2 linked regions of the Arabidopsis thaliana genome follow. The protein of the gene in region 1 purifies or fractionates together with the protein of each later gene. This does not show direct contact. Each region holds a gene or a part of one and is shown in the gene's direction. Other genes may lie near its edges.

Region 1 (3,761 bases):
CATAATCCGTGTCTCAAGTTTTCAAATGTGTTACGAGTAATATCTTGGATCATCAAATCGCCTATTACTAATTACCAAATGAATTGTTTGCGTATTTGGTCGAAACTCATACTTTTCATACAAATATGTTTTTTTTTTGTTTCTTAGGTGGATTGAACATGTATTAGTTCCTTTCAACATTTCTTCAATTCTCAACCACTAGTAGACCACAAATGTGTAGGCACTTTTTAAACTTAAAATTGATCTATTTTTGTTGAGCCTTTTGTACATATGGGCATATTTTGACATAAAAACTAGAATAGAAGTATATTCTACTTGGACTTATAAGCTTGGGTACTGTTTGGTCCGCAAAATGACGATTTCGCCTTCAAATTTGTTGATGATAATCCAATTCGTTTTTTCCGTCATGAGACCAACAACCCTCACCGTCTCCATCGACTGCAATTCTCTCCGTCGTGATAATCAAATTTGTTTATTAACACCGACTCTACATTCCATCAAAATCATTATTTTCGACTCCATCAATATCGTTTCCTTATGCTTCGATGATTCACACAACGTTTATACGACCAACCTTTTTCGATGAATCCAATAGAACTAATTAAACAAGTTTTGATGTAAGATATCTAAGCTCTAAGAGATGATGTTATAGAACCCAAATTCTCTAATTATAGATGCGGATCGAATCATCTTAACCGTAAAAGATAATGTCTAAAGAACTCAGAACAATCATGTATGCAATAACTGAAAAGTATATGATTGTGAATCATGAGCAAATCTTAAGTCATTTTCGTCAAAATTATATCTCAAGACCCAATTAAAATTTTAAAGAAGAAAAAATAATAAAGGCAAATTAATATTTTAGAAAAAACAAAAATATCCGTCTTTATAATCACTCGAGAATATGGCTAAATTCATAATAGACCATACTTTATTATGGTTTTTCTATAATTAATCCTAATTTTATTAGTTGCATGAAATTTTGGAAATCTTATAAAATACAATAACTTTTGGTCCATAATATATTGTAATATTGTGTATAGTTTTTTAGTCAATGATTGTTTCTAATTATACTGATTTATTACCAATTTACACTGCCACTTTTGGTTAGTTGCATGAAAATTTTGGAAGGCTAGAAAAAATAAATTTTCGCGCAACAAAATCATACTCCTTTGTTTATAGTTATGGTGATGGAAATCAAATACGTACCAGACCTTTGTTTATAGTTAAGGAAAAAAGAATTAAAGTCTTCAAACTCTAATTTGCTGGTCAAATCCAAATTTGGCGTGACATGTGCCCGTAATTAAAAATTAATTGCGTAATTAAATACTAACTTTCTAATTAGCTGCATCATCGAGACGAATAATTGAGTGTATTGGTCAATTGAATACGACAAAAATTATTTAAATAGTCGGTAAAATACCCATAGAAATTGACTAATCCGTCACCTCCCCCGGATAATACAGTTTTAACATTTGGTTTTCTAATTCAAACTAACATTTAAATTCCCTAAAAACCTTTACACGACCTATTGCCATCTAATCCAAAACTAAAAGTACTAGTTTTTTTTTTCTCAACTCAATTATAATAAATAAGAGGAAAAAACACCAAACAACAAAACAAAAACATATCATATAAAAAATCATAAATTTTTAAGAGGCAAAGTAGGTCAGAATTCTTATTAAAAAAAAAATTAACCAGCTAATGAATTAACATAACACTCTCTAAAAACGAGTAAGACAAATTTGGACAATACAATATTTTAAATTAAAAGAAAAAGAAACAAATGATTGTAAGAATTTGTAACTTTAGAAAAATATAGTACAACATCTTCAACCTCCACAATTTAATAAAAAGGATGAAGCATATGATTTAGAAAAATTATTAAAATTAGTTAGAATCTCTTCGGTTTCTCAACGTTTGTTTTGTATTTTTTGTGTTCCTCTATTATTATTTTTGTATTGTTCACTTAATTTCTTGTTTTCCAATAATCTATTTTGTTTTACATGTCTTTTTAGAAATGGTAAACAATTAAAGTAAAAAAGAGACAGAGGTGGCTCGAGGCAGAAAAGTCTACAATATATCCATCCTCGGAAAAATAAAGAAGATAAAATCAGTTCCGTATCTATATAAGAAAATAGACAAAAGTCACAAAACCTCATCAGAGCTGTCCGAATTCTCCAAGTCTCTCATCATCACACCCACTCCAACAAACTTTCTACGAGAGAAAAAAACAAAAAGAAAAACAAACAATGGAGAATCTTGTAGGTCTTCTTCGAATTCATGTGAAAAGAGGTGTGAATCTCGCCATTAGAGACATCTCAAGCAGTGATCCTTACATCGTCGTTCACTGCGGTAAACAGGTACCAAAAATTTATTCTCTTCCATTTTAGCCAATTCTGTTTTGCATCTTAGAATAAATCTGGTTATGCATCTAGTAGAATCTGATGCGTTTATTGAACTGTTGGTCGGTAGTAAAACTTTTATTATAAAAGAGATAAGATTATTGATGAGTCTATGTAGTGAAACTCAATGAGGTCTTTTATAATTTGACAGTGGATTATTGATTCTTTTTGTAGATCTCAAAACTAACTAGAAATTTGATTAAAAATTTGGTTATCAATAATGGATTGGAGGCAGTTTTTGAGGGTTGACATCACATATTTAGTTATACCTAATCTTTACAAGCTAAATGTGAAGTCTCTGACTTTTGATTTGGTATATGTCTGAATAGTACTAGTTATGAGTTGTCTTAACCTAATCCAAATTAATAACCAGTTAATACCTTCTCTGAATAGAGTTTGAGTTATATAGTTTATAATTTGCATACATGTAAATGAAGAAGTAGACTTTTGCTTCGTTTCATATTAGTGGGTCCTTTGCACATGAGATCTTTATGAACATTGGAATATTGGTGAAAAGCCATTGATTTTTTGATGTCAACATCAATCTCTTCTGGTTCCACCACGAAATATTTGTAACTTGTGTTGTCGCCTTTTGACTTACCTTAAGATCAATCAAAAGCATTTGCTAGTTCTTGAATCTTTTGTTTGTGATTGTGATACAGAAGTTGAAAACACGCGTGGTGAAACATAGTGTAAACCCCGAGTGGAACGACGACTTGACACTTTCCGTGACTGATCCGAATCTCCCGATTAAACTTGTAAGTAATCCTTACATTATATTGTAGCATGATAGCTGAACCAGAATGATAAGCGGTGGGAATTATGATGCAGACGGTTTATGACTATGACTTGCTCTCCGCGGATGACAAGATGGGAGAAGCCGAGTTCCACATTGGTCCATTTATTGAAGCTATTAAATTTGCCCATCAGCTCGGACCAGGACTTCCTAATGGGACCATAATAAAGAAGATAGAGCCGAGCAGAAAAAATTGTTTGTCTGAATCAAGCCACATTGTGTTGAACCAAGGCAAGATTGTCCAGAATATGTTCCTTAGACTCCAGCACGTGGAGTGTGGAGAGGTTGAGCTACAGCTCGAGTGGATCGATGTCCCGGGTTCAAGGGGTATTTAGGTCAAATCATATCGATCCGATCTTTATTAGTCCCTTGTGCATATGGTTAGAAACTAGAACTATGGTGCAGTTTAAAACTGGTCAATGAAAGAATCTCAAACTGGCTTGTGTAATAAACTCATTTCGTTTTTTTTTTCTCTTGTTTGATTCCAAAAAGTTTGCAATTCCATGAGGAGTAAGTGTAAACATTTGGATATCTACATAAATATCCTGTCTTATTAGCGT
Region 2 (3,486 bases), on another chromosome or scaffold:
AATACCAGCAAATACATGACCTACGGCGTTGCGGCAGTGGCACTGAACCGGAACCATCGACGGAAGTATTCGGTTCACATCTCCGCTCCCTTTCCGACGACCCACCATACCCGCAACAAGTCTCACACAATGTTTAAGCTCAATTTCCGACAAAATTGTTAGTATACATATACTTATAGACCAAGTGGATTGGATATCGTTAGTTAGTCACATTCTTTTCTTTATGATTAAGCCAAACGCAAGCTTGACTAAACTAATCATTCTCTACTTTTACTAAACACAGCTTGCGCTCCAGCCCCCACCCATTTGTTGAGTTCAAACTCGAAATCTTTCTTGTCTTCCCTACATAATGTATATATCATGTAAATTTGTTACCAATTCTTTGATTCTTTCAGTAATCAACAAGTGCTTATAAACTCAATAACAAGGTGTTTGCGTAATAAATATATTAAAAATAATTTTACTACTTTTAACTTCAAAATTAAAATGGCATCCTTATGAAGGGCTCTTCCTTGTCAAACTTGTTCATGCCTTTTTCTTATCAATCTGTTCTCGGAGCATTTTCTCTGCGAGTTTTCTCTTTGAAGTCTCTTCCCTACCACCTTGCTAAAAGATTCCTCTCCACTTGTTTGTTCCTAGTAAATCTTGTACTGTATAATAAGGTCTCTCTCGGATGTCCTCTTCCACCGTTTCTCTCCCAAAATTTTCTCCCTACAACTTTTTTTTAAGAACAAGTGTGAATCAAGTCCAAAAAAGTTGATCTTTATATCATCTTTTTAAAAACTCCTCTTAAAATGTTATTTATTTAATGTTTATTAAATATAATATATTTCTCTTTTTTATTTTTTTAATTTTATTTTTGAATAACAGGAGGTTCTGGACCGAAGTCCGTAATCCCTCTAGACCCGAAACCACATAATGTAATATTAGTTTCGTCTCAAGCGTCACTCGAACTGGCGACCTCTAAGGTTCGCCTAAAATCTTTACCAATTGAGCTAACGACACTTAATTTATTTTTTTAATAATCACAACTCCTTTGCATATATATTTATTTTTAGTTATAAAAAAATCTTTTTATTTTATTGTTAAAGAAAAATAATTTTATTGTTGCAAATTGTAGATTTGTCAAAGATTCATTAGATTTGTCACTAAATATAATACCCAACCAAAATGATATCTAAAAGAATTAATGAAACGTGAGTATATTTGTTTTCAACGACTAAAGAAACATATAAACAAAACTTATAAAAATATGAAATTGTTTTTGATAATTTCAAATGACAAAATAAAAAACTACAAACAATTTTCATCTCTAAGATTTCATTTTTTTCACCAAATAAAACCTACGAATATGAGTTCTTAAACAATAAAATAAAATCACCACACTCTTTAAAAAAAAAGAAACTTATACGAAAATAAGACTTATTCTCTTGAATAAGTAACAAATCCAATAGTTTATAACAGAAACTCCAGGTCATCTTTCTTTAAATATAAACAGATTCCATTTTTTGCATTATACACCCTTCCACTCTCACGTATATATATTTCTTACTTTACCCTTACTATTTAATATAATTCCATGTTTACCCTTCATCTTCCCTCTAAAATCCAACACAGAGAGATTTCAACGCTAAATAAAGAGAGAGAGAGTCTAAAAGCTCGTCGTCGTCTTCAATGGTGAATCTCAAACCAATTGGATAAATAAAACAAAACAAAAAAAACTTCACAAAAAAAAAAAAAAGATCCAAATTACAACCATGCCTTCGGAGTTAACACCAGAAGAACGATCGGAACTAAAAAACTCAATCGCCGAGTTCCACACATACCAACTCGATCCAGGAAGCTGTTCATCACTCCACGCGCAACGAATCCACGCGCCTCCGGAACTCGTCTGGTCAATCGTACGACGATTCGACAAACCACAAACATACAAACACTTCATCAAATCCTGCTCCGTCGAACAAAACTTCGAGATGCGCGTCGGATGCACGCGCGACGTGATCGTCATCAGTGGATTACCGGCGAACACATCAACGGAAAGACTCGATATACTCGACGACGAACGGAGAGTTACCGGATTCAGTATCATCGGAGGCGAACATAGGCTGACGAATTACAAATCCGTTACGACGGTGCATCGGTTCGAGAAAGAGAATCGGATCTGGACGGTGGTTTTGGAATCTTACGTCGTTGATATGCCGGAAGGTAACTCGGAGGATGATACTCGTATGTTTGCTGATACGGTTGTGAAGCTTAATTTGCAGAAACTCGCGACGGTTGCTGAAGCTATGGCTCGTAACTCCGGTGACGGAAGTGGTTCTCAGGTGACGTGAAAATGAAGAAAAAAATATGATTTAATTTCTTTTATTAAAAACAAAATCCAGAAATGTTATTTATGTTGCTTCGTATAAGATTCTCTTCTTCTTTTGTCTGTTTTTGCTTTTTTAACCTCATATAGTCATATTTTTACCATTTTCTTATGATGAGAATGACGTGCAAGGTTATTTTGGGCATTTTATGTTTGTGGATAACTATGAATCTTTCCATTTTCGTTAGGTATATTCCGGCGAGTAAGTCAAAATTTTCGGCTATGCAACAAACTCTCATAAAAAGTTACAAAAAAACTTACTATAAAGTTACCAAAGGTTTATTTGACACAAAAAAAAAAAAAGTAAATAACCATTCGTGTAAGGTTTTACTTTTCTTTGAATGTAAAAAAAAAGAAAGGTTTTCCTTTTCTTTTCCTTTTGTTAAAAAAACATGGGGATAAGATTTTTTTCACGTGTTTTTTGCTGTTATTGCTTTAAGTATGGTAGATTTAGTGTGTGATTCGTATGAAATTGTAATTACTTTTCATAGATTTCGCTTTTTTATCGATTACTTTTACATAATGTCCATGAACAAAACTTTAGTTTTTTTTCCCATGAACAAACTTTGTAACATATCGGTTGCCAAAAAAAAAAAAAACTTTGTAACACATGAACTCCCGATTTATTAACCAAACAACAACTTTTTTAAGAGTGGTAAAACGATAAAACAAATTGTGAAGGAAGAGATAGAGAAGACTAAAAAAACCATAAGTGGAAGTGTTTTAAGTTTTAACGAAGATGGTTTTAAAAGTGTGTGCCGTTTTTCATTCAGATTCGGGTTACCTTTTGCACTATAGTCAGGCTAGTGTCCCACTTGACTTGAATATATCACCATCATGTTTTATATAATTTATTGTTACAAAATTTGATGTGGGGAATCCATTATATGATACTATAACAATTTGTATATTTTATTATCGAATTTCAGCTGGATCGAGACAATAGCGAAAGGCCACTTTTATATTTTGTATAGTACTATTTTTAATTTCCTATTTGCAAACTTAAGACGAAGATCTTCTAATTAAGGCAAAGGTGATGATGATGTTGGTGCAAGTTGTGCCAGCTTGGTTAAATGTTGCAAGTTGCCAACTTGGTTATTAAACGCCGACACAAAGGT

The links.
Region 2: the proteins of AT5G37740 (region 1) and PYR1 purify together in Arabidopsis thaliana (affinity purification with western blotting, with the first as the bait; one study listed by BioGRID). This does not show direct contact.

Annotation. Positions count from the first base shown.
Region 1 is NC_003076.8:14,989,896-14,993,656, forward strand, and holds AT5G37740 (Calcium-dependent lipid-binding (CaLB domain) family protein), read left to right. Parts: upstream 1-2,153; 5' UTR 2,154-2,252; coding exon 2,253-2,363; intron 2,364-2,441; coding exon 2,442-2,471; intron 2,472-3,067; coding exon 3,068-3,163; intron 3,164-3,236; coding exon 3,237-3,536; 3' UTR 3,537-3,667; downstream 3,668-3,761. UniProt on the Arabidopsis thaliana protein: Stimulates the GTPase/ATPase activities of Obg-like ATPases. Mediates the transient calcium-dependent interaction of PYR/PYL/RCAR abscisic acid (ABA) receptors with the plasma membrane and thus regulates ABA sensitivity.
Region 2 is NC_003075.7:9,927,035-9,930,520, forward strand, and holds PYR1 (Polyketide cyclase/dehydrase and lipid transport superfamily protein), read left to right. Parts: upstream 1-1,552; 5' UTR 1,553-1,757; coding exon 1,758-2,333; 3' UTR 2,334-2,841; downstream 2,842-3,486. UniProt on the Arabidopsis thaliana protein: Receptor for abscisic acid (ABA) required for ABA-mediated responses such as stomatal closure and germination inhibition. Inhibits the activity of group-A protein phosphatases type 2C (PP2Cs) when activated by ABA. Can be activated by both (-)-ABA and (+)-ABA.